3 linked regions of the Drosophila melanogaster genome follow. The protein of the gene in region 3 interacts with the protein of the main gene of each other region in a pairwise test. Each region holds a gene or a part of one and is shown on either strand. Other genes may lie near its edges. The genes, in order: CG11899, CG5968 and SelR.

Evidence for each region.
Region 1: the proteins of SelR (region 3) and CG11899 interact in a two-hybrid assay, tested with the Drosophila melanogaster proteins (one large-scale study listed by BioGRID).
Region 2: the proteins of SelR (region 3) and CG5968 interact in a two-hybrid assay, tested with the Drosophila melanogaster proteins (one large-scale study listed by BioGRID).

The regions. Positions count from the first base shown.
Region 1 is NT_033777.3:29,195,830-29,204,791, forward strand, and holds CG11899 (uncharacterized protein), read left to right. Parts: upstream 1-4,624; 5' UTR 4,625-4,691; coding exon 4,692-4,736; intron 4,737-4,821; coding exon 4,822-5,498; intron 5,499-5,554; coding exon 5,555-5,927; 3' UTR 5,928-5,941; downstream 5,942-8,962. Other genes in the region: CG14515 (uncharacterized protein), read left to right, coding at 1,805-2,238, 3,256-3,328; Mesh1 (metazoan SpoT homolog-1), read right to left, coding at 5,963-6,079, 6,141-6,485, 6,553-6,630; Cyt-c1L (cytochrome c1-like), read right to left, coding at 6,872-7,906. UniProt on the Drosophila melanogaster protein: Catalyzes the reversible conversion of 3-phosphohydroxypyruvate to phosphoserine and of 3-hydroxy-2-oxo-4-phosphonooxybutanoate to phosphohydroxythreonine.
Region 2 is NT_033779.5:16,546,504-16,554,866, forward strand, and holds CG5968 (uncharacterized protein), read right to left. Parts: upstream 3,457-8,363; 5' UTR 3,384-3,456; coding exon 3,200-3,383; intron 3,144-3,199; coding exon 2,848-3,143; 3' UTR 2,678-2,847; downstream 1-2,677.
Region 3 is NT_033777.3:10,857,866-10,870,657, forward strand, and holds SelR (selenoprotein R), read right to left. Parts: upstream 10,426-12,792; 5' UTR 10,177-10,425; coding exon 10,107-10,176; intron 9,112-10,106; coding exon 8,944-9,111; intron 8,829-8,943; coding exon 8,664-8,828; intron 7,783-8,663; coding exon of another isoform or gene 7,586-7,782; exon of another isoform or gene 6,022-7,585; intron 5,994-6,021; coding exon 5,770-5,993; 3' UTR 5,490-5,769; downstream 1-5,489. Other genes in the region: CG14694 (uncharacterized protein), read right to left, coding at 355-616, 679-920, 975-1,300, 1,364-1,665, 1,730-1,938; CG6574 (uncharacterized protein), read right to left, coding at 2,918-3,179, 3,240-3,801, 3,860-4,161, 4,479-4,561, 4,623-4,748; Tsp86D (tetraspanin 86D), read left to right, coding at 11,168-11,720, 11,778-12,100. UniProt on the Drosophila melanogaster protein: Methionine-sulfoxide reductase that specifically reduces methionine (R)-sulfoxide back to methionine.

The sequences.
Region 1 (8,962 bases), about 18 Mb from region 3:
GCAATCTAGAGTATTATTTATCACGTTTCAGCACAAACACATTGCCAAAAGCAAACAATTTAGTTTTGTGCGCAAAAGTTGCTGACGCTGGCACGTGCAATTTGAATAATTAACCGAACATTTTAATTAATGAAACAAGTTTGGTATTGACTTGGCCCAAAGTGTGAGTGCGTGTAGATACACACACTAGCACTTAAAAGTGTGTTTTGGCCCGAAGTGTTGTTGGTCATTTGCGCATTTATTAAATTAGAATTTGTGTGCCATTCGGTATGCTGTTTGCAGTGCTTGTGAATAACAAAAAAAAAAAAAAAAGATAATTAAAGTGAGCAGAAATAATTGGGCACTTTATTTATATTTTTTATTTAGTTACCATTCTAGCTATAAAATATGCTGCGAAAATAGGAATTATAAAACACATAGCTGTGTTGTGTGCCATTTGTTATAGTTTAATTGATAATTATTTCGCATAATTATTTCTCTTAATGAGTATAAACACTATTTTAAAACATTCCGAACAATTTATAAATGAAAATTTAAGCAAATGCTTAAAGTTAAAGAACTGACTTAATTATTCCATTTGTATTCCAACTGACAGCAGCTGTTGCAATTATCCCCCTTGCCAAAAACTAAAGTGAAAATGAGGTGGTGGAAAACCATATTCCACGAAGGAATGGCGTTGGCGGATCCCAGAAAGGAAACCGCCGACTGAAGCTGTGAAATGCGAAACGCAGCGGTATCAAAGGGGGAAAAGCGAACTGCCAGAAAAAAATCACAACTGAGAAATCAGAAAAAGGAAAAACCCAACCGGAGCCAACTCAATTCAGCGAAATCAACGCCAACGGCGGCTGCCTGTCAATTAAAACATTAAAACGCGCTGAAAAATGCAGCGAACAGGCGCAAAGTAAACAAACTGCGGAACATGTTGCAGTGCGGACAGCATTTTCCAACATTTTCCAACATTTTCAGCGATTAGAAGCATAGAATTTCGCAATGGAGCACTTAGAGCAGCACCAGAGTTTCGGGCCCAGACCACCAAACCGAGCAAAGAAATCCGATTCGTCGACCAGGGGAGGGACTAATGTGTGACCCAGTTTGGATCACTGTGCAGGAAAGGAACTCTGTGTGTTTTGGCCATTTGCTTTTTGATCATTAAAAACTGGTTGGCCGCCGCCAGCTGAGCGCCCCACTACATTTGCGGTCAGCTTAATAGCACCGCTGCGGCCATAAATTAGTCAAAGAAAATCTATTGGGATGGCAGCTGGCATCTGTCAATGATTTATTCTTGACACATCATTCCGTGTTAGTTCTTTTAAGAATTAAAAACCAAATAAAATAATAGTAATGATTTACGGTTGGGTCTTAGTGCAATTGTTTAGTAAATAAAGTTATCAAAGGCTATTAATTACTATTTATCATAACAGTTGATCAACAGCAAAGAGTTCTGGAAGAAAAGCGTGGAATATTCGTTTATATTTTTGCATATTTTTGAATATTTTTTTAAACAGTACAAATAACTTTTTAGAAAAAGTTTTATCGTAGTCAAGAAAAAGATGATTTAGCGCACTGACTTCTCCAATAGCTGGCTTTCTTGGATAGCTAAACGCTCCTATTCAAACACCCCCGACTGTGGCTATCTGTCCACTTGAACCGCCCGCCCATGTCTTCGGCGGCAGCGTCGCTTGTGGCATTGCCGCTTGGGTTTATAAGCGGCCGGCGATGGCGGCGGCGAGCCGAGTTTCAGCGTCAGATTAGCCGAGAGCGCGCGCGTTTTTTCCCACGATCAGGAAAATCGAATTCCAGAGCCATGAAGGATCGATTCAAGTGGTTGTCGCTGGAGCTGCTCCTGCTGATAGGCGCCGCAGTCGCCTTTCCGGACGGCGCTCCGGCGGACACGTGCGTGAAGCAGCGGGCGAATCAGCCGAATCATGGCAAGGCCCGGAGTCAGCCGGCTCACTCGAATCCGTACGAGGTGGTGGCCGATGCGCAGACCTACCATCCCGGCCAGCAGATATCGGTGGTCATCTACCCGCACTCGGACCAGAGCACCGTCTTCCGGGGATTCTTCCTGCAGGCGCGTGATGCCAACTCGAACGAGTGGATCGGCGAGTGGGTGCAGAGCGAGAACACCAAGACCATTCCAGAGTGCTCGGCCATTACGCACTCGGACAACCGGGACAAGCTGGGCGCCAAGCTCATCTGGAAGGCACCGCAAAATAAGCGGGGACAAGTCTACTTCACGTAAGTTGGAAGTTATAGGAGGAGTGGGTTAATTATATAGCTCAAGCCAATGGAATTATTAGAAAGATCTAGAATCTATAATCGAACTAACTTTCAGTGTTAAGTAGTGCTCTTACAGTCACAGCAAACAACTTAAATGCATGCAGAAGTTTCACTACCAACTTAATAAAATAAATGACCGCTTAGCACCCATTTTTTCGGACAGTTTCAATGAAGCACTTTGTCAAAACTGGCTTCGTACAACGCAGTTCGTGTCTTCTATGGCCCATCACCCTCATAATAATCATCATTATCATCGGAGGCGACGGTGGAAGTAGCATAAGCCGTGGCAACATCATTGTGCCTCGTGAAGGGATTCATTAATCATACGCCACGTTGACCCACATAATGTAATGCGCGCATAATTGTCAGGCGGACAAAAACTTGCCGGATAATCGCACAAAAGGCATTATGTAATTGATTTATTTGGAAAGAGCACACCCCTCATCAATGGTCCACAAAAAAAGGCATCAAACGGCAAAGACGCCGCACAGTGACAAGCTCAAAAAAGCCAAAGAAAAGCTGTCAATGCTTTTTATGCAACTTTGTCAACTTTGTCGGCAGATAACACTGGCCAACATAGACAAGTGCCAACTGTGAATTAACCACACAAAACTTATTTTCCGGACACTTGTCTCATTTGTCATTCTACCAAAACCAAAATATGCAAATATGGGTATTAATCACAAACAGACAAGCAAAGTTTATGGACACATCTTGCACAAGATCTGAAATCAATCATCATAGTACACTAAGGGAATTAATGCACAGAATTATAAGCTATAAAATGTATTATTTTCTCCATAACCATTTGATTTGAAAGTACTGTAGTCCAGTGTCGTCTCACCTTAAAAATCATCTGCTAATATTGCCTAATCATTGTCTACTAACTATTTATAGACTTCCTTGCGAATAAATTAGAAAAAATCATGACTTGCGAGCAACCATAAGAATTAACATTTTCACTTTTCGCTGCAGGGGCACTGTGCTACAGGAGTACGGAACGTTTTGGAGCGACATTGTGAACAAAGTGCAGGCGGAGCGGCCATAACTGAAATTATGTACTTACTTTTAAGGCAGCCGGGCAATAAATCTTAAAAACCCTAATTAGTCAAAACGAAATTGTTGTTTGAGGATTTTTTTTCGACTGCCATTCACCATTCCGACGTCTTGGACGTCGGACGCCAAAGGCGCCCCATTGAGCTGTGCAATCAACATTACAGGGCAAAATTATTGGCTTTTTGGCTCAGCGCTTATGAATGACCAGCCCACATCCCAGCGCCCAACGAGGCGAACCAGTTCCCGTCGCCCACCACAGACAGCACCTTGCCACCCACATCCGCCCACATCCTCCCACCCACTCCACTCCAAGTCCGAAATGGAACGCACGAGCCGAGCACGTTTGGGTTTCCAGACACGTTGGCCAGCTTCTCATAGGAAATTCGTTTTGGGCGCCCCGGCAAATTGGAAACTCTAAGCACCTTTCAGGCTGGCTGTGCTATAAAGTAATTAGACGGCCAACGAATTTGACCAAGACATAGGCCAAGATAAGTATTCGTAGCATAGGTCTAAAGCACTTCTGATTGATTGCCCTTACAACAATAGGAAGCGGATAAGGATAAGGAATCGGTTTGCAGATATGACCAGGCGTGCAAAAGAGTTCGCGGAATTGCTAATCGGCAGACGGTTTGTTTTGCTTGAAATTTACTACCAATTATGGTAGCCAACTTACTTAAGCCTTAGTTAAATATATAATGCCTAATATTGGTTATACTCTACAGATAATTCAATAAAAAGCTATGAAATCATAAACTCACTGTCGCATGCATCGAAGCTCCACTGTACATTGCACTTACACATTTCGCTTGCAGCTTGTTTACTCGCCTGCGAACTCAGTCGCTCGCTTGTTATTGTCATTCCAGCGAAAAGTGCATGGCAACCCACGCTGGCTTGGGGGCGGGGCACACACACGATGAAGTGGGGGGGTTACTGGGAAGCACTTTGTTTTCGTGCGTTGCACATATGTACATATGTATGTATGTACGTACATATGTAATTATATACGTTAGCCGACTTGTTTTGATCGAATTCGCCGTACCGCCGCCTGCCTTTGTCTGGCTTTATGGACTCCACAGGAGCGCAGCCCAAAATGGGGGGCTTGGAGTCGAACACCCTCCCGGTGGAGAATCCGTCCCTGGAGCAACCGAGTTCGTTGTCCAGTCGGGCGAATTTGAGTCTGGTTTTCCGCACGCGTTTTGTTTACTGTCCGGTGACTTGTTGCTGTTCTCTGTGCCCGCCTTCGTCTCGTTTATCAGCGATTGCGAATACTCGCACGGACTGCTCAACACTTTAGTCAATATTTAGCCGCTTCCCGGAGAGGTTCATAGATCGCAGACGCACTACATAGTATCAGCATGGTTATCAACTTCGCCGCCGGTCCAGCCAAGTTGCCCGAAGAGGTCGGTGAAATGGGTGGCACCACTCCACACACGTGACGTGTAATAGTAACCTTGATTACATGGTTATCTCTATCTGCATATATAGGTACTGAAAGAGGTGCAGGAAAATCTTGTCAACTGCAATGGCAGCGGCATCTCGGTCATGGAGATGTCCCATCGCTCCAGCAACTATGCCAAGATCCATGATGCGACCATCAGCGATCTTCGCGAACTCCTCAATGTGCCCAGTAACTACAAGATTCTGCTGATGCAGGGCGGTGGCACCGGACAGTTCGCTGCAGTGGCTCTGAACTTGATTGGCAAGACTGGCACTGCTGATTATGTAATCACCGGCTCCTGGTCGGCCAAGGCGGCCAAGGAGGCGGCTCAGTACGGCACTGTGAACGCGGTGCTGCCCAAGTTGGCAAAGTATACAACTGTTCCACGACAGGAGACCTGGAAGCTGGACCCAAATGCCTCATATGTCTACTACTGCGACAATGAGACCGTAGAGGGCGTGGAGTTCGACTTTGTGCCCGAGGTTCCAGCCGGTGTGCCACTGGTGGCCGATATGTCCTCCAATTTTCTGTCGCGTCCCTTCGATGTCTCCAAGTTTGGCGTTATCTATGCGGGAGCCCAGAAGAATATCGGACCAGCGGGCACCACGGTGATCATTGTCAGGGACGATTTGATAGGCAAGCACTTGAAGATTACGCCCTCCATCCTCAACTTTGAGCAGATGGACAAGAACAACTCCCTGTTAAATACTCCGCCGACCTTTGGGTGAGCCCAGAATGATACATGGCTGGTGAATTCTTTGTTAAACTTTCCCCTTGCAGCATCTATGTGATGGGCCTGGTTTTCAAGTGGATCAAGCGGAACGGAGGAGTCGCTGGTATGGCCAAGCTGGCGGCAGCCAAGTCCAAGTTGATTTACGACACGATCAACCAGTCGAATGGTTTCTACTACTGCCCAGTGGATGTCAATGTGCGTTCGCGCATGAATGTGCCCTTCCGTATTGGCAGTGCCAGTGGAGATGATGCCCTGGAGAAGGAGTTCCTGAGCAAAGCCGAGGCCGAGGGCATGATTCAGTTGAAGGGTCATCGGTCGGTGGGCGGCATTCGAGCCTCCCTCTACAATGCTGTAACGCTGGCGGAGACCCAACAGTTGGCCAATCTGATGCTGGCCTTTTACAAGAACAATAAAAATTGAACAGGTTCATCTGTAATTTGTTGGTTTTTGATCGTTTACAAAAGGCCGCGTTGGCGGAAGATCTCGTCCAGCTTGAGCTCCAGGTTGGCGTTGGTTCCTCGCAGATTGTCCACCACCTTTTTGGCCCAAACGAAGTACTGATCACGACGCTCCTGGAATGAAAATATGTGATCCATAAGGTTCCGTTTTTCAAACCAAGATGGGCCCAAATACCTGTGTCCACCCTGTCGGTGTGTTGACTTGCAGATCCCTTAGGTTATCCAATTTGTCAGCCAGCTTTATGAGCTTTGCTCTGCAGCTGCTTTTGGCTGCATTTTCTATTTGCAGGCGTTTTCTCTCCTGTTTCTCCAGGGACTTGTCGTCCGTCACCTCCCTCACTAGTCCACAAACATCCGGTCCAAAGAGTTTCTCAACATCCTCGAAAGATGCGTCCGTATCCTCCACGACATCGTGCAGAAGTGCAGCCATTAGGACTCCCTCATCTGTGATGCAGGCCTCCACGGAGAGAATAGTGCTCACATTGATCACATGGTTCACATAGGGGGTTTCCTGAGGATCCTTGAAATGTAAAAAAGATAGTATTCATGTTTTAAATATATCATTTGTTGCGTTTTAATAAGCTTACCTTGCGACGTTGCTGCCGGTGCTTAAAAGCTGCATATTGGAGGCACTCCATGAATTTGGCAGATGGATATGTGGCCATTGTTGTAAGAAATAATTAAATGAACGGGCCTTTAGTTCAAATTTAAAGTCTAAACCTTATTTTTTGCATTTATTTACATTTTTAACATAACAGCTGACTTAACAGACCGGCAAGAATCTATAACAGAGCAATTGTTGGTGCTTTACAGCGCGGATGGTTAGGCCCTGGAAAACCTATCGATAAATAAAAAGCGCGGCATTCATTTAAATTCAAAAACCTTTATTTAAACAGTTCACCAAACTTAGTCCTTCTTCTCGTTCTGGTTCTCGCACTTGTTGCACTCCTGCTCCTTGGCCTTGCGCGCTGCTTTGGCGGCCTCCTCCGCCTCTCTTTTGGCCTGGGCCTCCAGTTCGGGAATGAAGAAGATCTTGCGAGACTTGAGCGTTGACCACTTAAAACGCTTGATGTAGTAGGAAATGCCAATCAAAAAGGTCGAAATCAGAGTAACTTTGATGAGCAGCAGGCGACGTTCGTCGGTCTCCGGTTCTGAAGTCCACTTGAGGAAGACGCACACATCCTTGGCAATTTGGGCGGCCGAAGCAGGCACATTTGGATCTTCAAAGGAGACCACCTCATTGTCAACTACCTTGCCCATGGCAATCGCTCCGCCCGAGAAGTACGGATTGAAGTACAGTCCATCACGAAGGGCAAAACCAGCCGGAGGATCACAGTATCCGGTGAGCAGGGAGAACACGTAATCCTCGCCGCCCTTGCGAGCCGACACAATATAGCTGAGATCCGGCGGATAGGAGCCATTGTTGGCGGAACGGGCCGCCTCCTCGTTGGCGTACGGAGAGGGGAAGTGATCGGACAGCTTGCCGGGACGCTCGTAGTACTCGCCCTCCTCGTTGGGCCCATCCCGCACCGTGATGGCCTCCGCCTCGGCCTTGGCCTCCGCCTCCGTCATGCACACTCCCACCAGGTTGCGATAGGCCATGTACTGCAATGAGTGGCAGGAGGAGCAGACCTCCTTGTAAACGGTGTAACCTCGACGCACGCTCTCCTTGTCCAAGGCGGACAAAAGCCCTTTGTGATTCCAGTGCTGGTGGGCCGGATGCACGCAGTCCGAGGAGGCATCCACGCTGGTTTCCAGGGCGTAGATCAGCAGCCCTGCTGTTCCGGTTAGGGCTCCCAGGGCTCCCAGCAGCTTGCGATTTCCAGTAAAGCCGCTTCCACGACCCGGAAAACTTATCCGCGGACGCACCGATGTCCGCTGGATGCCGCTCATGGCCAGCTGGAAAAGTTTGCTGTTCAGACTCCTGAATTTGTTGGCCATTTTCGGTCGGATTCAGCTTTATCTCTCAAAACGATTTATTTACAATGTCAACGCAACCAGTGTTGGAAAGCTCTGTCGACTGGGGTTGTCACCACTTGGGGAAATATGTTCTGTCGAAATGAAATCACGTGTGTTGCGGTAAGTTAATATTTTAATTATTATATATTAATTTAAATATAACACCATCACATGCAAAATTACGGATCAAGTGAATGGCTTAAATGCAGTAATAACAATATACATTATCAATTGAAAGATTAACACTTAGGAATCTATCTTTACTGTACTCACCTATGGCAAAATATTAGACTTCCTCCTTTGATGGCAAAAAATCGTCATTGCGAAGAAAATATGTAATTGTTTGGAAATATTGAAATGTGTAAAAGTATAAGCTTTTTCACAACAATTTTTTAATGACATTTCACACAAAGCCGGCAAGAGCAACCTTTACCTACTAATTAAGATACATATCGATCGAAATGCACTTAAAAGCTCTGCTAAACTATTTGGAAAACATCTAAGCCCCTCTCCCTTGTGTAAGCAGTATTAAAAAAGTTAGTTTCTGGAACTACAGAGAAGGCAGGATGCTTAGAAATCCCAGCACAGACTTTCTTCCACATCAAGCCCAGCTTAGCCAGATTCTTATCGGTGATCTTTCTCCATAAAGCATATGTAAACCAAAACCCACCCAAAGTGCTGTTATTCTTCACAGCTAAAAGGTTGAATCAACGTTTTTCTCTATTGTTGTAACGATCGCCTCCTTCTGGGTTTCTTTCCTGTCCAACCAGCGGAGCAACTTAAAAATACAAAAAAAAAAGCAAATGCCAGGGCACTTTCATTTGTTATCTGGCTCAGTAATCTGTAAATCGGTAACAGCCCACCAAACAACGGTGCATACAATATTTCCTAGCCATTCTTCACACTGTGTGACCACGAAATCGTCAAAGTCAGGCCCAAGCCAGCTTTTACAACAGCCAAGGAGTAGGGGCGTCGGCTTACCGCAATTTTAGGGGGGCTCAGAATGTGGGCAAGGTAGTAATGAAGCAACCAATAATT
Region 2 (8,363 bases), on a different chromosome or scaffold from region 3:
TGTGAAAAAAGTGGAATTCTTGGAAAGTGTATCTCTTTGGCTTTTCCACCTCGAGGCGTTTTCGCTTGAAGCTTTTGCGAGTTTGGTTCGATTTCCATTTGCGTTTAATTGCATTTATGCATTTTTAATCGAGTTTGACTTTGGTGAGCTTTTTACTTTGGCATATGCTAGATTGTCGCCCAGACACACGGGGTTTTTTTGGGTGAAAATGGGCTCTTGCTGATCCAAAAGATAAGTTTCAGTTTCGTCCTTCTTGGTAGTGAGATGTTTGGACAAAGTTTTCTAATTGGCCTTGACGCCGTTTTCAGAGTTTTAGTGCTACTAAAAGGCAAGAGTGCGAACTTTCTGCGTCTTTAATAAGATAATTTATTTGCAATTATAATTTGGTTCATTAAAGTTAATTGAATTAAGGGCAGGCGTTACATTCCAACCAAATGGAATGACAATGGGTGTGGGGTTAAAGATAAAAGGATTTTAGTTAGTGAGGAATATATTTTGTGATAATAACGGGTAATTAAATTTTTTTTTATTTTAAACTGAACCGCTATTAGGCAATTTTGGGCATTAAATAGTTAAAAGCTTTAGATACACAGTTTCAATGCGGTATACAAAACTTCATTAATTTTCGATTAATCTAGTATTTTTATACTATAATTTAAAAACCTTACGTCATTTATTGTTTTAAATCAAATTTTAAATTTAAATATTTTAAGATATTCCACTTCTCCAAAGAGGTTTTTTTCGAACAATTTTTAACTCACAGCCAACAGCTGTTGCATCCTAAGCAAACATTTGTATGTTTAACTTAGTCCTCTTGAAAGCTCAATTAAAGTCGCGTGTATAACCGCCCACTACCCAGGGATTCTCTAAACTTCTACACTCCGAACACACACGCCAAGTTTGCAACTTGGCATATGTTTATCTGCTAATCATGGAAATGCGATGCGGTGTTGCAAAATATTTATCTAGAAACGGTTGACTAAAAAAGAGGGAAATAAGCGAAACAGCTTTTCAGCCAAACTGCAAATGGGAAAGCAGCCCCCTTACCGGTTTCCCACTTTTCCGGCACGGCGACCATATGCCAAAAAGCTGAACCAAAAATCGCACACACATTTGGGGATAAAACGCGATGCGAAAAAAGCATAAGTAGGCTGCTGTGACATTTCGTTGTCTGGGTATACGCTCATCGCGAACAAGGATACAGGAGCATTAGGGTGGAGCAATTTGTTCGAAGCTAAATATAAAAAACTTCAATATTGATTAAACTTGTTCATGCATATAGGACTTAAACTAAGTAAAGATCTGAACTAAAATTAAGTGCTTTTTTTTTAATAGAAGAAATATTAAGATCAGCTATTTTTGCGGACTGTTGATTTCCTTTTAGCGCTTAAACCTTTATAAGAATATACTTGGCATTTCAAGACTTTCGTAAATTCAGAACTTGGCTTAGATTGACGCACCCTGATAAAAGCACACTTATAAAGGCACACATTTGTATATCCGCACATCGGCACACACAAATAATTCGCCGTGCTATGTATGCCAGTATGCCGAAAAAAAGGGCAAGACATAGCTTCACCCGCTTTTGTCGCTGCCCACGCGTCACGGGCCGAAAAGCAACCACCCCACTAAGCAGCCCGCCCAACTAACCCACCGCCCGCTAAAACCACCCAACGACAAGCTCACCCACTCAGCCATCGTGTATGCCTTAACATTTACCTTGTTGGCCCGAAGTTGTCCACCAAACATTTGTTGCACTCTTCGCGTAGGAACCGCTTCTCACCATGCTGTTTATTCACCAGGCTCTCTCCCCCACTGGTTCTCTCTCTTGCTTTCTCTGCCTTTCTCTTTCTCTGTTTACATTGCTCTCTCTTTGAGGTAGCCGACGCCGGTCCGACGTCATCGCAAAGGTCAAAGCAAAGCAGCGCGAGTAACTATATAAAAAACCCTACAATTGCACCGGAAAAAATGGATTTGCATTCGAAATTCATAAGTTTATTTAAAATAAATATTTTATTCATACATCTTTATTTCCAACAATAATTAATGACAAAAATAAAATAGTATATTTAGAACTTGATTTCTAATAAATAAAAAAAAAAGAAATAAATATTTTAATCTCTAAAAATATTCCATATGAAGTATACAGTGATTTAAAAAAAGTTACTTTTTTGAAATCTTTTACAGTACAATATGGTGTAGAACTTGTTTGAGTGCATTAAAGCTTTTTACGAAAATTTAAGGGATCCTGTAACTGGTGGGTTGGCCATTCTAAATGCCTCGAGGGGCGGTGGTGCGGATGGCGTGTGGGTGACTTCGGTGGGTGTCCAACCATATGGTCAATTCAATGCACTGAGTAAATTGCTCCTTGGCGGAGGCAACGCTTCATTTGGTTTTCAAATTGAATAGGAAGCGTCGCGACATTGTCGGGCGCCTCGCTGCCACCCACTTTCCCGAATATATGTATACTCCCCACCGCCCTTGCATTTGAGGATTCGTCCTCCGCTAATTGAGACATTTGTCAGTTTGCGCAAATGAGCCACCATTTCTCAAAGGCACCCTCTCATTGGCCACGGGAATTAGGAGACGGAAAGTAAGGACTTATTCCCGACAGCAATTTCGTATTTTAATCGATTATACCCAATGGACCTATTTTAAATATTTAGATTTAAAAACGCTTTAATGAAATTTTATAAGATTTTAATATCTTTTCCTATTTTGGGCCAAATATTATAATAGAACGGACAAGAAATTTATCCTGTAACAAATATATGTAGCATTGGTTTCTTGGATGTTTTTTTTTTTTTTTTTTTTTTTTTGACAAGTTCGAATATCCTTTTGCGTGGCTTACTTAAAAACTGTTCGCTTAATCAGCTTGGATGGCGTTTTTCTTATGTTTGTGGATGAACTAGGAATGTCCTGCAGTCGGCCCTTTTCAGTTGGTTTTGACTTTACCAACTGTTCCGTTGTCTTGACTTGACTTGGCTTCTTATTAATTTTTTTCTCAGCGACCGACGATAAAGGAGTCTTGGGTATTAATTTCTTTTTCTTTTTAAGTGACTTCTCCGGAGATTCTTCTTTGTCAAGGGCCTCCATCTCAGACATCAATGTCTCGAAGGTCACATTCATCAAAAAGTAGCGACCTTTTGAATTTACCTTTTTTTAAGGTGTGGTATAAAAATAAGTTTAAGTATCTCACCGTCGAGTTTCTGCAGGAATCCCAAGCGATGGCCCATTTCAAGGGTTTGTTTCACAGGCTCTTTAAGCTCATCTTGCGATAATTCCGTATTTTTGGCTATGGTTACCACTATTTCTCGCAGTGTCGCCGGCGCTTTCAACAACTGAAGTGTGTGCACTATAATAGCCCCATTAAAGTTGGGCATTTTTTTCGATATTTGTGTAATTCTGTATAAACGTGTGCTATCACTAAAATCGGTTCTAAGAACTGAGAGTTACGTGCAAAACACAAAATACAACTGGCCAGCTGTTAGTCAGATTTCAGTGACAACCAAGTTCTCAGCATGCTTTAATTTAAATATTACAAAATCCTACACTTTTAAATAACACAATTATTTTAAAGAAATCTATTAATTAAAAGAGAATAGTACATATTGATAGAAAAATACCTGTACCTTGATTGTACTCTGTTCGCTGGCATTTGAATCCTTGGCCAAGTTTGGACCGCCATCCAGTTGGTAACAAGACTTACGTAGACTGGCCGACGTCAAGCGCTTATCTATCAGCCTTGCAGAAGCTGGCCAATATAAGCGGATTTAGCCATATCTATCAATAATCCCCGACTCACAACAACAGGAGTGGTAAAAGAATTGAGCAAACTTTGCCGCTCTCTGTTCTCCAATATTGGCTTCTGATATTTACATCAGGGACGCCTTTCTGCTGACGTTTTTCGCCACTGCTGTTTCTAATCAGCGTGGTCTAAATATAGAATCCCTGACCGCCCACACTTTGGTAATCGAGCCCAGAATATATACCATATGGAGGTTTAATTAAACTGGGTTGTGCAAAAAAGAAAAAAAAAAAACGGCACAAAAAAGCGAATGCAAAGAAAACAATAAAGGATGTTTATACGCACGCCAAAGTTTTCGTTATCAATCATTTTTATAGTGGCAATTAAAGCCTCAACAGCTGTCAAAGTCAACTGACTAACAAAGATGTCAATGCTCAGTCATCTTCAACTTCAGGCAATGGCGAAATCGATGAAAAGGCGAACAAAAAGCACTAAACAAAGTTAAAATGTTATTAATGCCTATTAAGTACAAAAACTACGCCAGTTCCAGTGCTGCCAAGGACAGTTGGAAAGCAGTGCCGTTTACTCTTGATATTGACAGTCAACGGTAATTTAATCAAAAAGTGTCAGAGTTTGCCATATGGCTGCCACTGAACCGAACGTTTGAAAGTCAATAAAAAAAATGGTTAAAACGAATGTGACAGCTAGAAATATATCGTTTCTCCGATGCTCTTTTACGTACATATATATATTGTACTCTTTTTTAAGTATTTGTACATCTTAACTTTAAAGGCTTAAGAAAAATTTGTGATATTATTTGGCAATTTTATACAGAAATATTCATTTTAAATTGAATTAAACATTAAAATATTAAAATGTTTCCAATGTAAAGTAATTAAATAACTTTTAAATGGGAAAATGTACGCTCAGAAACTGAAAAAGACCGAAAAGAAGCCAATAAAATTAATAATTGTTCAATATTGTTGTATGAGCTCCTTCTTTACGTTCTATTTTAATAATAAAATAAACGATTCATGGAAAAAGAACAATAGGATCTTAAAATCAATAACGAATATTTCCAACGCAAATTTTATGTGCATGTTTGCATATTAATTAAAACGTAAATTTCAATGTAAATAAAAATTCAACAATCCGGTGATTTACAATAAGTTCTTATACATTTTTTGCCCTTCACTTTGCTGGCCCTAAAGCACATTAAAGTATGCTATGATTTCTGTTTTTTCTTTGTCTGTTTGCCGTAAATGTATCTGTGTGTGTATGCAGGAATGGTTTTTGTAGGTGGGTTAAATTCTATTTGATTTCCGTTTCGTATAGACCTAAAAATAGAAGCGTTGAAAAATCAGGGACAACAGCTCTCCGCCCAGAGCGAACATTTATTTAAAATGTTTGATGTTTTCCTCGGTTAAATGTAGCCTTTTGACTCTAGCCCAAAAATGAAATACAAACACCGGACTACCAGGAAATTCGTTTGTTGATTGTTTTGCCCCAACGTTTTGCACACTAGAAATAAAAGAATTTCAAAATGGCAACACACTTGCGCACGGAAATTCTTTTCTCAAAATGCCATTTAAAATGCAGTACAAATGTTATTTTAACACTTGTCACTGTGCACAGCCATAAAACACGAACGAGGTATTTTATGAAGTCGGTAGGTGAAAGCAGAAGGCGTGTTTAGAATGACACGCTTTTCACTTATTATTTATGGCAAATGAGAAAAGCTGAATTGTGAACAATGCTGCAACGGATTTTATTGGACAGGAAATTCAGGCATATTTACGGCTCAGAATGGATAGAATGCAAGCATTTATTAAGGTTTAGGTAAAGCACTTTAAATAAAATACGTATGAAATAGATAACCTGAAAACTAAAAAAACATCAATACTAAAAATTTGACATATATATGTCGATTTGAAAACCCATTGCCTTTATGTCAATGGTTTCTCTTGACTCACTGAATTGCTTCAAGTTTAATTTGTTAGCCAAATACGCTTAATTGAACTGAAATCTTCTATACCAAACGGGCAAACACACACACACACACATTCGCATCTTCTTTGACATTTATGCAGAGTCAACCTATAAGCACACAGTGCGACCCATAGGTGAGTGTACATGCGAGTAGTGTGTGTACATGTGTGATAAACGGCAGCCTCTGCAGCCTGACAGTTATACTTGCTGTGTTTTATTCGAAAGGATGACCTGCCCGGCAACCCCAACCCTTATTTTTCCTCATTGTGAACTTACACCACCAAAAAAAAAGAAAAATACTGGCGAAGCCTAATTATATCGAACGAATTTAGCATATTTTCATATTAACATAACTTAATAATCTTTAAAACTAAGGCCCAGTAGCATGTCTGGATATAAATGTTATATATATTTAAAAATTGATTTAAAACTTAATAAAAAATTTATAAACGCTTACATTTGACAAACTGTTTAATCGAATAGGCATTTCAGACATATCAAAAGAATTTTTTTTTCAACTTTTTGTATTATGTATGTCTTGTTTAGTGATGCCAGCTTTAACGGTAATTGTTTCAATGAGCTCCATGAAATTTCTTTGCGTGCCTCGTGTTCTCTGGTGGTCTGTCTGCAGATCATGTTCTCTGTGTATGAAGACCATGCAAGTGACAAATTATATGCACAATGGTGGGGCATGGTGGTTGGGGAACTGGGGGGGGGGGTACAGATGAGTTGTGTGAAAGTGTCAGCATCAGTGTCAGTTTGGGTTTTTCCAAGTAAAATGTTTTATGAGCAGGCAGCGAGACATTTTTGGCCTTGGTAAAATATGAGTTGCATTTTGCAGCTCCCTGAATACGGGCAATAAACTGTGACCTGCTCCACCTATGTATGTGCCAGATACATAGTCGTACATACGTACGTACGTATCTGGTATCTCATATATCAACTAATTGCAATTTGTTTATTGTCCATGTGTGTGTGTGTGCCATCCTTGTTTTGTGGGCTTTGTAATTTTGTTTTATGTCTGGGACGTGCCTTCTTGGCCAATTGGAAATTTTATACCCATAGATTGGCAATTTTAATTGACTTGTTTTCCACAGCAAAGCAGACGACAGACAGCTGTTGCGAAATGTGATTTGCATATGGTTAATTCACAAGAATTAAAGCCAAGCCCGGCTGGAGCAGTCTAAATATCAACAACATATACTGTACTGTTTAAGACATTTTGATTGGGCATAAGCCTCTTTTCTAGCTTAACCAGCATTAAGTGGGCTCCTACACTCGCTTGGCGATGCCCAAAAGTATGCCACTTTAAACAGCAATTGTATTCTCTTCAATTTTTCCCCAACTCAATTAATTGAAGCCATTTCTTTTGCTTACTTTCGTGGGGGTTGTTCCACTGTCACAAATTTTCTCGTCTGACGCTGATCGTTTGCGTCATTTTCATGCGGGCAACTTTTACGCACTTGCGTCTTAATTACTCACACCGCATTTGAGCCGCCTTCGTTTTGCCTCCTTTCGAACGACTTTTCCGGACTCCCGCCGTTTCCATTCCATGTCTTGGCTTAAATCCTTAAGCTCCTTTCACAGTTTGCCTGTCTGCAAGCCGCTTTCTACATTTGTTTTACAACCTACGGGGAGTTTCGATTAAGGTTGTAAAGCCATTTAGCCGAGAGTGATATGTACATGTTTGATGAGAGATTGATAAAAGAAAGATAAATATAAATAAATACGCTTTTATTGTTGTTCAAATTTGTTGTTTATTGTTCAAATAGCTCAAATGGTAATAAAAACTGAAGTGTTTTAGCTTCAATTCATTTGAGTACTATATTTTTATAAGTTTAATTTAATTGAGTTTTTTAATGTGACTTGAGAGAGTATTTCTGAGTTCATTTAGCTACCGAAAAAGTATTTTTTATCAGGATTTCCTTTCTGTGACGCCCACCCATTCAGGAAAATATAGGCTAAGTGGCGCTTACAGCTTTTCGAGTTTTGCGTTTTGATATCTACCCTTAAAATAATGGTTATACGTATTAATTTACAGATACAGATAAGTTGCGATAGAAATTAACATAAATTTATAATGGAATATATTTTAAGTGCAACTTATTCTTTTGCAGTCTATATACTTATAATCCAAAAAGTGTATTTACTCGTTGGCTAATAAGTTTTCCATGGCAGTCTTATCAGTTGAGCAGCTTAGGCTACCGTTCATATAAATTTTCCCTTTGTGCGGCTCCTTCATCCTCCTTCTCGTTTTCCCTCCCAAAGTCATCATCATCGTTGTGTTCGAGGACCGCTGCAACATGTTTGCATTTCATTTGTTAGCAAGTTGTCAACCTTTTATCTATGTTATTATGTCTTGCCTACATAGCTGCTCCTTTTTTACTGGCTTCGCTCCTTTGTGTTCCACTTTATCTTATTTTCCACGCTTTTTTTTTGCTTAGCTTAAAGTTAAGCATTTAAAGTTTTCCACAAATGGTATAATGGCGAGCTGTGGGGGCGGTGGCCTGTCATTAGTCAAACGTCATGTCATGTGAATGGGGCGTGATGAGCGTGCAGCGAATTTATCATTGGGCCGCATCTAAGATAAGACCGGGCCACGCGTCGTATGCGCAATAAAACAAAT
Region 3 (12,792 bases):
GCACCCTGATTCTTGAATGTTGTATTGAAAATAACGACGTTCATGATCTTGTTTAATTTGACATATTATTAAGTTTGTAGTGGCCATATAATGTACATGGTACACTCTGATTAGATTCGCGGCGTAGGATTAAATATCTTCATTTTTTGAAACTATAACTATAAAAAAACATATACATTTTAATAAAGTGTAAAACAATATAATATCAACGATGTTTCAACAGCTTGGGAAATATTTCTTAAAAGTAATAATGTTTCAGAATACAAGCCAATTATTATTTTATTAAACAAACTTTAAATATGTATAACAATTTTATTTGATAAATGAACACTTTTTCATCATTAGAGTATGTTGTTAATTCGCCTCCTGAATTGCTTTTGGTTTCTTCGAAATTGACCATATATATTGCAATATAACAGCAATAGAATAGACTATTCCAATAACTATAAAATAGAATGCGTAGACGGAAAACTGTTGAAAAACATTCAAATTCAGATTGGCCTTTTCCGAGACGACGACAAATGTGAGGATGCACTGCAGGAGGAGTCCCACGAACGTGTTGAAACCAAACACCAGAGCGAAGCTATCCTCCTCCAAGCTGCTGGCCAACTCCGAGCTATAAGGTATTACGAGATTTGGTAAATTTCACCTGTTGGAAAAGGATCAAGAACTGCTTACCTGGCCACTGTTATGGTGAAGGCAAACAGGCCTCCATACAGCACATAGCCAAGATAGGACAGATATATATCATCGGTCCAGCAGGAAAGCAAAACACAACCTCCTTCCAGGACCGACAGCAGAGCCATCGAGAGCAGGCTGCTCCTGGTGTTCAGACGTCCAGCATGGAAATAACCGGCGAGAAGGGCGAACACAGCGCTTAGAAGCGTCAGGGCCACGTCCACAGCTCCATTCCAGGCTATCTTCAGGGGAAATCTCAAGGATGAGAAAGCCATTGATTATTGAAACTCACTCACTGTTGGTTCGTTCTCGAAGGACTTCCATACCACCTGCATATAGGTGGTGATTTGCAGAAATCCAGCCAAACTGATGGCATACCACAAGCTCCATTGTATCACCAAGGGATTAGTGTAGGCACTACGGAAGTGGGACCAAAGGAGCTGCAACGCTGGTATCTTCTTTTCTTGGCTCGCTTCCTCGTTACTGGGTTGCTCTGAACCCTTCTCCAGGTTACCACCATCCGATTTGGTTCCACCTTCTATGGCCTCGCTTCGATTGTGAAAGTACAAACTCTTCTCCACCTTTGGCAAAAAGAATGCCCAGAGCAGCGCAGCAACTTGAGCTGTGGGAAAGTGGGAACATTGGTTAACTGGCTATTGAATCACTTTGCTAACTGGTAACCAACAGGTGACGGTGATGTAAAACAGTTGCTTGTAGTTCATCCACCTCATTCCAATGACCATCTGAGCCAGGATTCCCGCAACTAGCTTGCCCACGAACATGGCTGCCCTGGTGTGCGAGGTCACCCTGGGATAGTACTGTTTGTCCACCTTGGCGTAGATGTACGAGTAGTAGGCCACCTCGCCCGCCTGGTAGAAGCCATAGAAAACCTCCACCGCCTGCAGGCCGCTCAAAGTGGTCGTCCAAATCAGTGTGCCCCAGATGCAGATGCCTGTAGTGGCATTGGCGATGATCACGGGCTTGTATCTGCAACGCAAACGGAGGGTTATTGCTGGCCAATAAAGATTGCATTCATGCATGGGCTGTATACCTGAGCAGGTCCGTAATGAGGAAGACGAAGATTAGGAGCGCCAGGTAGGAGTATGTGCCCACCGGGTAAACGGATCGGTTGACCTCGTCCTGGGTGACGTGATACCACTCGCCCATCAGGATTTCCGCGTGGTATGGCTCCGAGGGTCGAAGTTCCCGGAGAAACCCGAATATGCATAGCAGGCACGATATCTTCAGCCACGACTCCATCCCGTTACGGCTGTCGGCTTGAATCTAATCGCGATCTTAACGCCAACCAGCGATCCCACCGACTATATGTACATACATATAGATATATGTCTGGCAGCGTGTAGCTTCGACCAGCTATTATAATAATTGCACATTCTTCCAAGGGGTTAGCAGGCTAGTGCCGAGTATAGAGATTTACCTTCGACGCTTGTAATCAGCGCTGGCCCATTCGCGATTTACGATCCAAGTGTTCTCCGATTTGGTGCAGGCCAGCGGAGCAGTGAGGTAATGGAATATCCGGGAAGTTTCCGCTTACAGCGAGCAGCATGGTCACGATCGCGATTAACTTGCTCTCGCCTGATGCGGTTCCCACTCCAAGTTGGCCATACCAGCCATTAGCAGCTAATTAGCCCATTAGCAGGGCACTTAAATGGATCTATCTTGCACTGAATTTCTCAGAGAGCCTTACACACTTGTTTATTAATGTTTCTGTAATCTATTAATGCAAAATATCAACACTGATAAGTTAATAATCAGCGATAGCCGCTTTAAAAGTGCAAAAGAAATTGTTCCGGGTAATAGTATCAACAAAATAATTGAAATCTATAACGATTGTTGTCATATTCGGATCTAGACTACATGATTAATAATATGTATTTAAACTTAAACGCTTGCTTTTTACTTCGATTACTTTGCTCTATAAATTAAACGTAATAATCGTAAGATAATATTAATAAAACACACAATTATTCTATACTAAAACTCGGTATCTTTATTCCTGCACACTTGAGACTGATTACACGCGCTCTATAAATGGAAATTTCTACTAAATACTAAGAATCGCCAACAGATTGGTAATAAAAAGATGACCTAAATATTCTGGGAATACAATCGACCATCGCACGAATACCATATTATGGTAGTTCACGCACAGGAACCAGTCTTTCTTTAAGTAACGTGTTGTGTTTTCACCTTAAGTACTATCTAAATGCCTCGGAACTCAATCCAGTGAATTTTCCAGCTTTTCGACGTCGTTGTTGCGGCACATTAAGTACTCAATCAGCACGGATATCAGATACAAGACGCCGACGCCAATAAAATAGAATGCATACGCCGTGTACTGGCCAACGGGATCGAGCTCAAAACCAGTGTCCGTGACAAAGATTATGGTTAACAGTGACTGGAAAATGAGGGCCACAAAGGTGTTCACACCAAAGACAAGGCCGAAGCTTTCCTCCTCCAGATTTCTGGCCACTTCAGCACTGCCAAAAAAATTAAAATTCATCTATATATGGAGTGCCTATGAATATCATAAGACTTACCTCGCCACCGTGATGGTAAAGCCGTAGAGGGCGCCGAAGAGCACAAAGCCCGCATACGACCAGTAGATGTCCTGTGTCCAGCAACAGATCAGCACACATCCGCCCTCCACGGCGGACAGAATGCCCAGGATCAGAAGAGATGCTCGCGGTCTGAGCCTTCCGGTGTGCAGATAACCAGCGGCCAAAGCACTTAGAGCAGCCAGAGCTGTCAGGACAGCATCAACGGCGCCGTTCCACGCAATAACAGGCTCCGGTTCGATCACTTTCCACAGAACCTGAACGTAGTAAGTGACCTGCAGGTAACCAGCCAGTCCAATGGCGTACCACAGACTCCACTGAACGACTCGCGGATTGGTGTATGCATTCCGAAAATGTAGCCAAAGAAGGCTCAGTGCTCCTGGCTGCTTCTGAGTATTCTCCTGCTGCTGATCCATCTCAGCCAGGTTTCCCACCCCGGGTAGCTGAGTCTGCGGCTCCGTAATGGACAACTGCTCCCGATGAAAGTAAAGACTCCTATCCACGCGGGGCAGGCCAAAGGCCCAAAGCATGGCTATAATCTGAGCTGTAGAATATATGTGCATGATTAATGCCCCAAGTTGTAGGTCATTTATTGTACGTACTGCCCAGCGTTATATAGTTAAGCTCCTTGTAGTTCATCAGCTCCAGATTGAGCATAAGTTGGGAAGTGATGCCGGAAACCAGTTTGCCTGCAAACATGGCTGCTCGGGTGTGGGAGGTCACTCTGGCATAGTATTTCTTGTCCACTTTGGCATAGATGTACGTATAGTAGGCCACCTCTGCGGCCATGTAAGTGCCGAAGAAGAACTCCAGGATCTGAAGCGACAGCAAGCTGGTGGTCCAGATGAGCATGCTCCATATTATCACACCCGCAGCTCCAATTGTGATGATCAGCGGCTTGTATCTGAAACATAATACATATAGTTATTATAAAATGAAGCCTGTTTCCGTTCGAACAGCTTTTAATTGCAAAGCTATCAAATCGAATTCAATTTGCTGAATCACAATAAATTTTTGGCTAGCGAAGGCAAAAGTTTGACTTTGGAGTAGGTCACCTTCTGGTTACAAATAAAATGACTGGTTTCGTATTTGATTACGAACAATTTTTGTTATAAAATATAAATATCAAATTGGCTGATAGCAACTCAGTCCCACGTTTAATTTAAGAAAATACATTTTATCCTTAATTTAAAAGATAAATAATTTTCAGCGAATAGTTACCTGAGAAAATCTGTTATGAGAAATACAAAGACCAACTGCACCAGGTAGGAATAGGTTCCCACTGGGTAAACATCGTGCGTTAGCTGGAATGGGAAGAAATTTGATATTCTATGGAATGGATAGATGGTGGGAGATGCCACTCACCTGCTGCTCCGTGATATTCCGCCAGGGACCCAGCAGGTACTCCGTGACGTAGGGCTCCGACGGACGGATCTCGCGGATGCAGCCAAAGACACAGAGGAGGCAGGAGATCTTCAGCCACTCCTTCATTTTCGAAATTTCGTAACGGTCACTGACGTAACGTGCGCTACGCAACGAGATTCAGCGGCGCAAGCTCTTACGTGAAACACTGAAGTGGGATGCCGTTAGCTGGGCCTTTCTGCATCTGGACAGGTGAAGCTCAATATATTGCCTAGATTCACGGGCAATCTGGTGTATCAGGCCATGGTCGTCGTCGCCGGGTGCTCAAATCTAATCTCTTCGCGACGCGAATCCGAAATTATCACTTCGACGTGCCCGAATTGTATTTACACTGAAATCGCTGTTAGATAATTGCGAATTTACAATGCGGTTTGAAAGTCACAAGCAAACAATCGCATGTGGAACGCACAGGTGGGTGGTCCAGTTTAAAAGTTCTCCAGTCACCCTACACACGTGTCGCACTTCAAAATCAAACGATCGCATACTCGGCCCATTCGCTGTTATCGATTTGTCGCCAGCACATCACTTCGGGCTAATAAACATTTAAATTCACCTTATACGGCGACTGCAATTAAAATCAATTGACTTCCGAGCCATAAATAAATTCGATTTCATGTTGTTGCGTCGCCGGTCGTTACGTCACGTCAACAACAACTGCGGCGCAGCATCTGTTTTGCGCAAACAAGGGAAGGCAACTGACGTAGTTGGCAACGCGGCTCAGCTGTTCCGTTCTCACCTGGTCGGCACTAACAACTACGTTCAAATTAATAGTGACAACTGCAAAAACACAACACATGCAAGCACCGTTTTATTGTAAAAAACACACGTTTATTTAGCGCGCTCACTTTAAAATTAGTACTGTGTTGAATGTGTGGGGTTACAGAGTATTCGGTATTTGGGTTTGTATAAATTAACGAACAAATTTCGAACCAAAACATTAGCTATTTACACAAACAGAGGGGCGATTGACTTGACTACGAGCTAAAATTGGCCACATTTGCGGAAAGTTAGAAAGTACACGTAGAAAAATTTCTTAACAGCAACGACACTCTGAGGCTTGCCTCCTCCGTTTGGCGGTTGATCCTCGGCATCACTGCTGGGCAATGGGCGCCGCGGTGGGCGTGGCCACGGGCGGGGACGAGGTGGCGGGATCCGCGTTCACGAACTCAATGGAGGCGGAATTGATGCAGTAGCGCTTGCGGGTCGGCTTCGGACCATCCTCGAAGACGTGACCCATGTGGGCGTTGCAGCGGGCGCAGCGGACCTCAGTGCGTATACGTTCTGGATGTGCGATTAGTAGTAAAATATTGCCCCCTATTTAGTTTGTATTTTGCCATTTCGTGGGATTAATTGGATACGTTTTGATTGTTGTTTTTTTTTTTTGTTGTGTAGCGCATTTTGTTGACATTTTTTACAATATATTCATTTTTTTGATCGTTTTGCAAGGTTAATTCAAAGTTTTTCGGTGTAAACAAATCAAACAGAAATAGAAAATTGATTGTGAAATGGGTGATAAATGTGAAGCAGAGAAAGAATCACAGAAAAGAGCGAAGAAATAACGGCAAATAAATGGGAGTGCAAATCAGAGAGCGAAGGAGGAGATGCAGCAGAGAGAGAGAGAGAGAGAGCGATAATTAACAATGGGTGGCAGGTGAAACAATATGAAATGAAGTCACATAAACCGGTGAAAATAATTGACGAATCAGGAATATAGATGATTTTCCGAACGATTTGGCGTACATGTTATTTTGGTTAATTAAGCATTTCATGTGTCGTTTTTTCGGGTGTTATAATTTCAGCGATGAGTTAAATGTTTTCGTGTTTTTGGTTAGCAAAACAAACCCCCAAAAAACGTTTACAGGCGTTGTACATTTAGTTTTTTTTTTGTTTTTGAAGCGAGTTAAAAAAAGAGAAATAGAAAATATACGAAAATACACATTATTTGGATTGTTTAAAACACTCTATATAGTTTATGGATATAATGTTGGTTAAAGTATTCGGGTTATGTTATTGAAATCAAAAGAAAATTGAGCGTGAGTAAAAAGCAACAAACTAAAACGTAAATCGAAATCATACAAATAACCAAATACAGCACCGGAAAATAATATTTTAAAATAAAAGCACCACATTCACACAGACATACACATAATGGCCCTGGCCCAAAAATAAATCCAATCGACCTTGTATAATGATCGAAATATGGTATGTGGAAAAAGCTCAATGATCTATGTAGATTCAAAACCGAAATATGTATGAAAATTGCACTTAACCGAAAAGAAAAACATATAAACTAACTAAAGGAACCCTCGTCTTATCCCAAAATAAATGATAACCTTGCGCAAAACTTAACTTCTTGCTAAGCACGTAAGTTCCTACAAAATGGGTTAATTTTTATTAACGTACAATATACATATCCTATAGATACGATGAGAATGCAAGGGGAGATACTTTTGAGAAGTAGAGTTCATCTACACAGTGAGTGAGATTGTAAACCGAAAAGAGTGCATAAACCCAGGCCAGGAACTGTAGACTCGCATTTCCGTTCATAAAACTTTCGTAAACTTTATAAAGTTATAATATAGAGATAGAGATTTGAAACCGAAACATACATAGGGTAAAAGTAGGAAAAGTATATAGCAAATGGAATCTGCTGGGCTGAACTACAATACTAAACTCTCACTCCTCGTTCCGCAATACATTTTCAAACATCGTTCTTGTGTATAAGCTATGTTTTTTTTTGTTCGTTAAACAGTTTTGCATAATAAACGCCTATAAAATAGCTAAATATCTTTCTTTGCTGGACCTGCAGCCCTCTATAGACCCGGAGTAGCATCTACCGCTGGTCTATATGGGGCTACTCCTCCGGGTGTAATGGTATTCCTTGTGGTTAGCAGGCAGATCGGTCATTATTTCTTGGACGAGGCCGTCGATGGATCCGCCTTCGATGGCGTCGCACTCTTCACGAAATCGATGGACGCGGAATTGATGCAGAAGCGTCGATGCTTGGGCGGCGGTCCATCATCGAAGACGTGGCCCATATGGGCGGAGCATCGGGAGCAGCGCACCTCGGTGCGCACCATGCCTAGCGTTTTCGAAATGACTACTGTTGGTTTAATCGGTTTACAAGTGATACTCGTGGGTGATATTCGGGTGGAATCGATATGGCATTAGTTGTATTTCATGTGGTTTTTTTTTAGAAAGAAAGAAATGTTGAGAAAGTCAGGCGGGATAGAAGAGTGGGATAAGAGAACACAATACTCGGTTAGGAATCAATTTTAGTCGCTTCTTCTCGCTTTGTTGCACATTCAGGTGCTGCAACGGCAGCAGGAACACTCACTAGTCACAAATCACCGGCACAAGACTAAACACAGTAACACAACAATGGCAAGGCCAACGGCACAACTACAGTGAACTCTGGGCAGTGGAACAGTTTTGGGGTCGGGTTCAAGATCAGATTTTAAACACGAAACAAAGCAACAAACAAGGCAACACAAACAGCACAGACTTTAAATGAATAATATTAGCTAATGGGTTTATAAGGTTTAATTAAGCCATTAACTAATAAGCCTCTTCTTATAAACATCTCACTTTATGATTTTATTTCTTTACAATGACTTATGCACACCATTTTCTTTAGAAATGGAAAACAATCAAGCTGAAGGTCATACCAAAATATGAAATATACATATGTATATGTTTATATGCTTATATAACTCTACAATTAATCGTTATCAAGGCTTCTTTATAAACTTGGTAATCTTATGATTGCTCTTATTCACACATGACAACTAGGCGAATAATTACTCTAGTCTGGGTTATATTGTCTCCTAGGTGGATAAACGCAAATGAAATTCTCAACTCTTGGGTGCGGCAACGGAACAGCAACTCAAATAAAAACATAACTCAAAACGCTTTGCAATAATCAACAGCTAAAAGTGCCGAGCAAGGTCTTGGCCAAAAGTGGGCCGCCTGGCCAATACGCACCTGGTATGCTGGCATCGCGGTGCAGCGTGACCTTGCCCTTGTCTAGGACATCGTTGAAGGCCGGCCATCCGCATCCCGAGTCGTACTTGGTCTCCGAGCTGAACAGATCCTGGTGGCACACGATGCACTGGTACACGCCCTTCTCGTAGTGTTTGTTGTAGCAACCTGTGGACATTGCATTCCATCATTTGGGAATCAGAATTGAATGCACTTTGTTCGAGGGGTGGCGTTCCATCTTGATAATGGCTTATGGCTGCATGTTTTGTTAGGAGAGACTCACCTGTGAAGGGTCGCTCGGTGCCCGCCTCCTGGGTAACCTGATACTGCACCGGGGTCAGGCGCTTGCGCAGCTCCTCCTTGTTCACCGTAACCTTCTCGCTCTTGTTATCCATAGTCGCTGCTGGTCCGGAATACCTTTTGTCCGGATTGTCGCTGTCTTGGCGTGAATCTGGAATGCAATACAATACTTTGGTATTTGATTTGCGGTCGGGTCGGTTTGAGTGTGCTTTTCGGTTCGCCAGCAGTTGGGTAATGGAAACTGAGTAGGGGATTTCGTCAAGCTTCTGTAAGATTTCCCTCATAATCTGCCCACTTATCGGTGGGACTTTCAACGAAACCTTGGGCAATCTCAACTCGCTTATTTGAATGCGGCCATCTGACGATAAGAAGCTTACTACTATCAGCCATGAGTTGCTGAAAATACTTTCTCGAAACTCATAATCATCTTGTTTTCTCATACAAACGATACCATACCATTTATGAAAATGAATTATATGAAGAAAATTTTTGGCATTTTTGGAACCCAATTTGATAAGGAAATATATACATAAATATTCTTATTCCAATATTAAACAAAAGCTATATATAGCGTACAAAATATAGAAAATACTTATCATTTTCTTAAACAATTTGTTAACAATCTTGAAAACTCAAAATCAAAGTTGTGCATCCAGGGAATTAGTAACACCAATTTTGTATACAAACTTGCCTGCTAATTAATGAAGGTGTAAACAGATTTGTTAAGTGCGGCCAACAAATGGAGTGGAGAAACGCATTGGGCCAAAAATAGTTTTATGGCTTTTTATGCTGCTTGCCCGCCGTCAATCAAACGGAGTGGCGCCCAAAGCAAACGAAGGCGAAGGAAAAGCCGAAAAAAAAACCGAAAATCGAATAGCGTAGGTGGAGCAGTCACCTTTTATTTTCGGTTTTTCCGAGTGCAACAATAGAAAAGCCAGCCAAGTGTGTCGCGGGCAATTGAAGACAATGAATTCATTGCGAGCAAAGTCAGAAAATAGCGGCTAAATTGCGTTCATATAGAATGCAAATGTATAAAAAAATCAACTCAAATTGTGTCTAAAATTAGCCGATGGCCAATCGATGAGCATGGGCTGACACGCCCACAGGTATTACAAACTATACCTGCGACTTTTTAGTGCAACTCACCTGCGAAAAAGCGTGGAATGGCGAATATTCGAGTGCGCCGCAGTGCGTGGCGAGCAGAAAGTGCAAACATTATGTGGCTAATTTCAGGTGACAACTGCACTTGGCACTGCCTGGTTATTTAATCAGCACAGCAACAGGGGGAAAATGAGCAGAGCAAGGAGGAAAAGTCAATGTTTTGTCCACTGCGCACTGCCCACGCGTACTAACTAATATTTATGCAATTCGCGTTGCCACTTCCGTCTACCACATTTCCCACATTTTCCGTTCTATTTTCGTGCGCTTTTCTGCTTTTGAACGCTTGGCGAGGAGAAAGCGCAGTGCAGAGAAAGTCGCAACTCAATTAGGGAAAATGCGCTCGCAATTGTGCTTCAATGTCACCAGCGGAGAACCGAAAAGAAAAAACACTTAATTTTCCCACACTTAAATGGTGCGTCCTTGGGTTTTCTCTAAGCTGGAAAACTACTCACCTGCTGAATAGCGCTCTAAATGGTGCTGATTCTATTTTTGGCCTTTTGTTTATGAATGCGCCAAACGCGGGCGAAAACAAGCGTGCGTCGCAATGTTACGCAGCGGTGGAAAATTAAAAACTAATACAAAAAAAGCTGCTTGGGAAAACAGCTGCACGCGATGAAAATCAAACACCTGGCTGGCTCGCGTTGCCAATCGAATGCTGGATGATAGGCAACAAAGGCAGTACGGTCACGCGAACAGCTGACTGGCCGCGCTGCCAACTGCTGCCTAATTGGACAGCACGTCTGGCAACGCCGGGCACTTTGTTATTTTTAGTGGCTCCATAAATTTGCTTATCAGTCATAAAATTTAAGCTAGTGCGTTAATTCATCATATTCGCTGCGGGGAAACACCAGAGTTAGACAGTCCACCACTGACGCACTGCGAAACTATAGCAAAACAGCCGTGCAGGCCGCTGAAGAGACCACACGCAAAGAGGGCGTCAACAAAAAGAAAAAACCGTGGGGGAGGAAACCTGGGCAAAAATACCAGGAAAAGTAATACTCATCGAAATACTCGGCTGAAAACACGACTTGCACATTCGCGTGGCCATGAGCAATCACAGATACCATCAGGGGGGCAACTACATGCACCCGCGGATCTCCACCTATCCGCACCACTTCAGCTACGTTTCCTCTTGCGTCAAGTACATGATCTTCCTGCTAAACTTCCTCTTCTGGCTCTTCGGCGGCCTGCTCCTGGCCATCGGCGTGTACGCCTTCATGGACAAACTGATGGACGGCAATGGCTGGCTGCGCTTGGACACCATCTACGATGTGATCTTCAACATCTCCCTGGTGATGATCATCGCCGGAGTCATCGTCTTCACGGTCAGCTTCGCCGGCTGTTTGGGTGCGCTGCGCGAGAACACCTGGCTGCTAAAGCTGTACTCCATGTGCCTGCTTCTCTTCTTCATACTGGAGATGTCGCTGGCCATCATCTGCTTCGTTTTCCCGCAGTACATGAACTCGTTCCTCGAGTACCAGTTCACGGACAAAATCATCCACTCGTACCGTGACGACTCCGACTTGCAAAACTTCATCGACTTTGCCCAGCAGGAGTTTAACTGCTGCGGCCTGAGCAACGCCGGCTACCAGGATTGGAGTGAGTATTTGATTCATAAGCCACAAACGAATTAATTCCATGTCCGTATGCATACAGGCAAGAACGAGTACTTCAACTGCTCATCGCCGTCGGTGGAGAGATGTGGAGTGCCCTACAGCTGCTGTATTAATGCCACCGATATCAGCTCCGGCCTAGTGAACATCATGTGTGGCTATGGCGTGCAGGTGCGTTCAGTGGCCGCCGCCAGCAAGCGCATCTGGACCAGCGGCTGCATCGAGATCGTGCGAGTATGGGTCGAGAGGAATCTGTATGTGATTGCCGGCGTTGCCCTGGGCATAGCCTTGCTGCAGTTGTTCGTCATCTATTTGGCCAAGACCCTGGAGGGACAGATCGACCTGCAGAAGTCGCGCTGGTCGTGAGTGCAATGCCACCATCCGTATCTCTACGGATATCCGCCATGCGAAGACGACCCGTATTACAATTCGCGGATGTGAGGCGGACTTTTTTGGTCCTGCCCGTGCTCAAATAATTTCAAACCGAATCCCACTCCTAGAATAATCCATAGCTCCCTATATACCATCTCTTGTGTTTTCGATAGATTTAAGTTCTAATGTCCCGCGATAATAGTATTTCAATAGTATTCTCATACTCTCCTAGGCTTAGGAAAAAGTATTTATACTCCTTTGTGTTCGTTTGCTCTGTATGTTTTTTAAACGTCAGCGCATTCTTAGTCACAAGTAAAGTCGAACACATCTAAAGTTTTACTCTTATACGTATGCAATATCAGACTATTTAAAAGACACTTGTGTATAAGCTAGCGAGTTCCATAAGAAATATGCATTTAAAATGAGATTTATATGTAACGACGAAACCAAAACTGCATGCATGTTTGTTAAATTGAAAAACATACTAGATACATAGACTTATTATCATTTTTAAGTATCTGTACGCGTGTTTGTCTGCAAACGTTGTTGTAGTGCGTATTTAAATACAGGCATTCTATACGTGTAATCGTGACTTTTTCATATGGTGAAAACAGCACAAAGTACCTGTCTTATCGCTCCACTTGGTTATTCCAATCTTGTTCTTACGATTGACCTTTAATCTACAA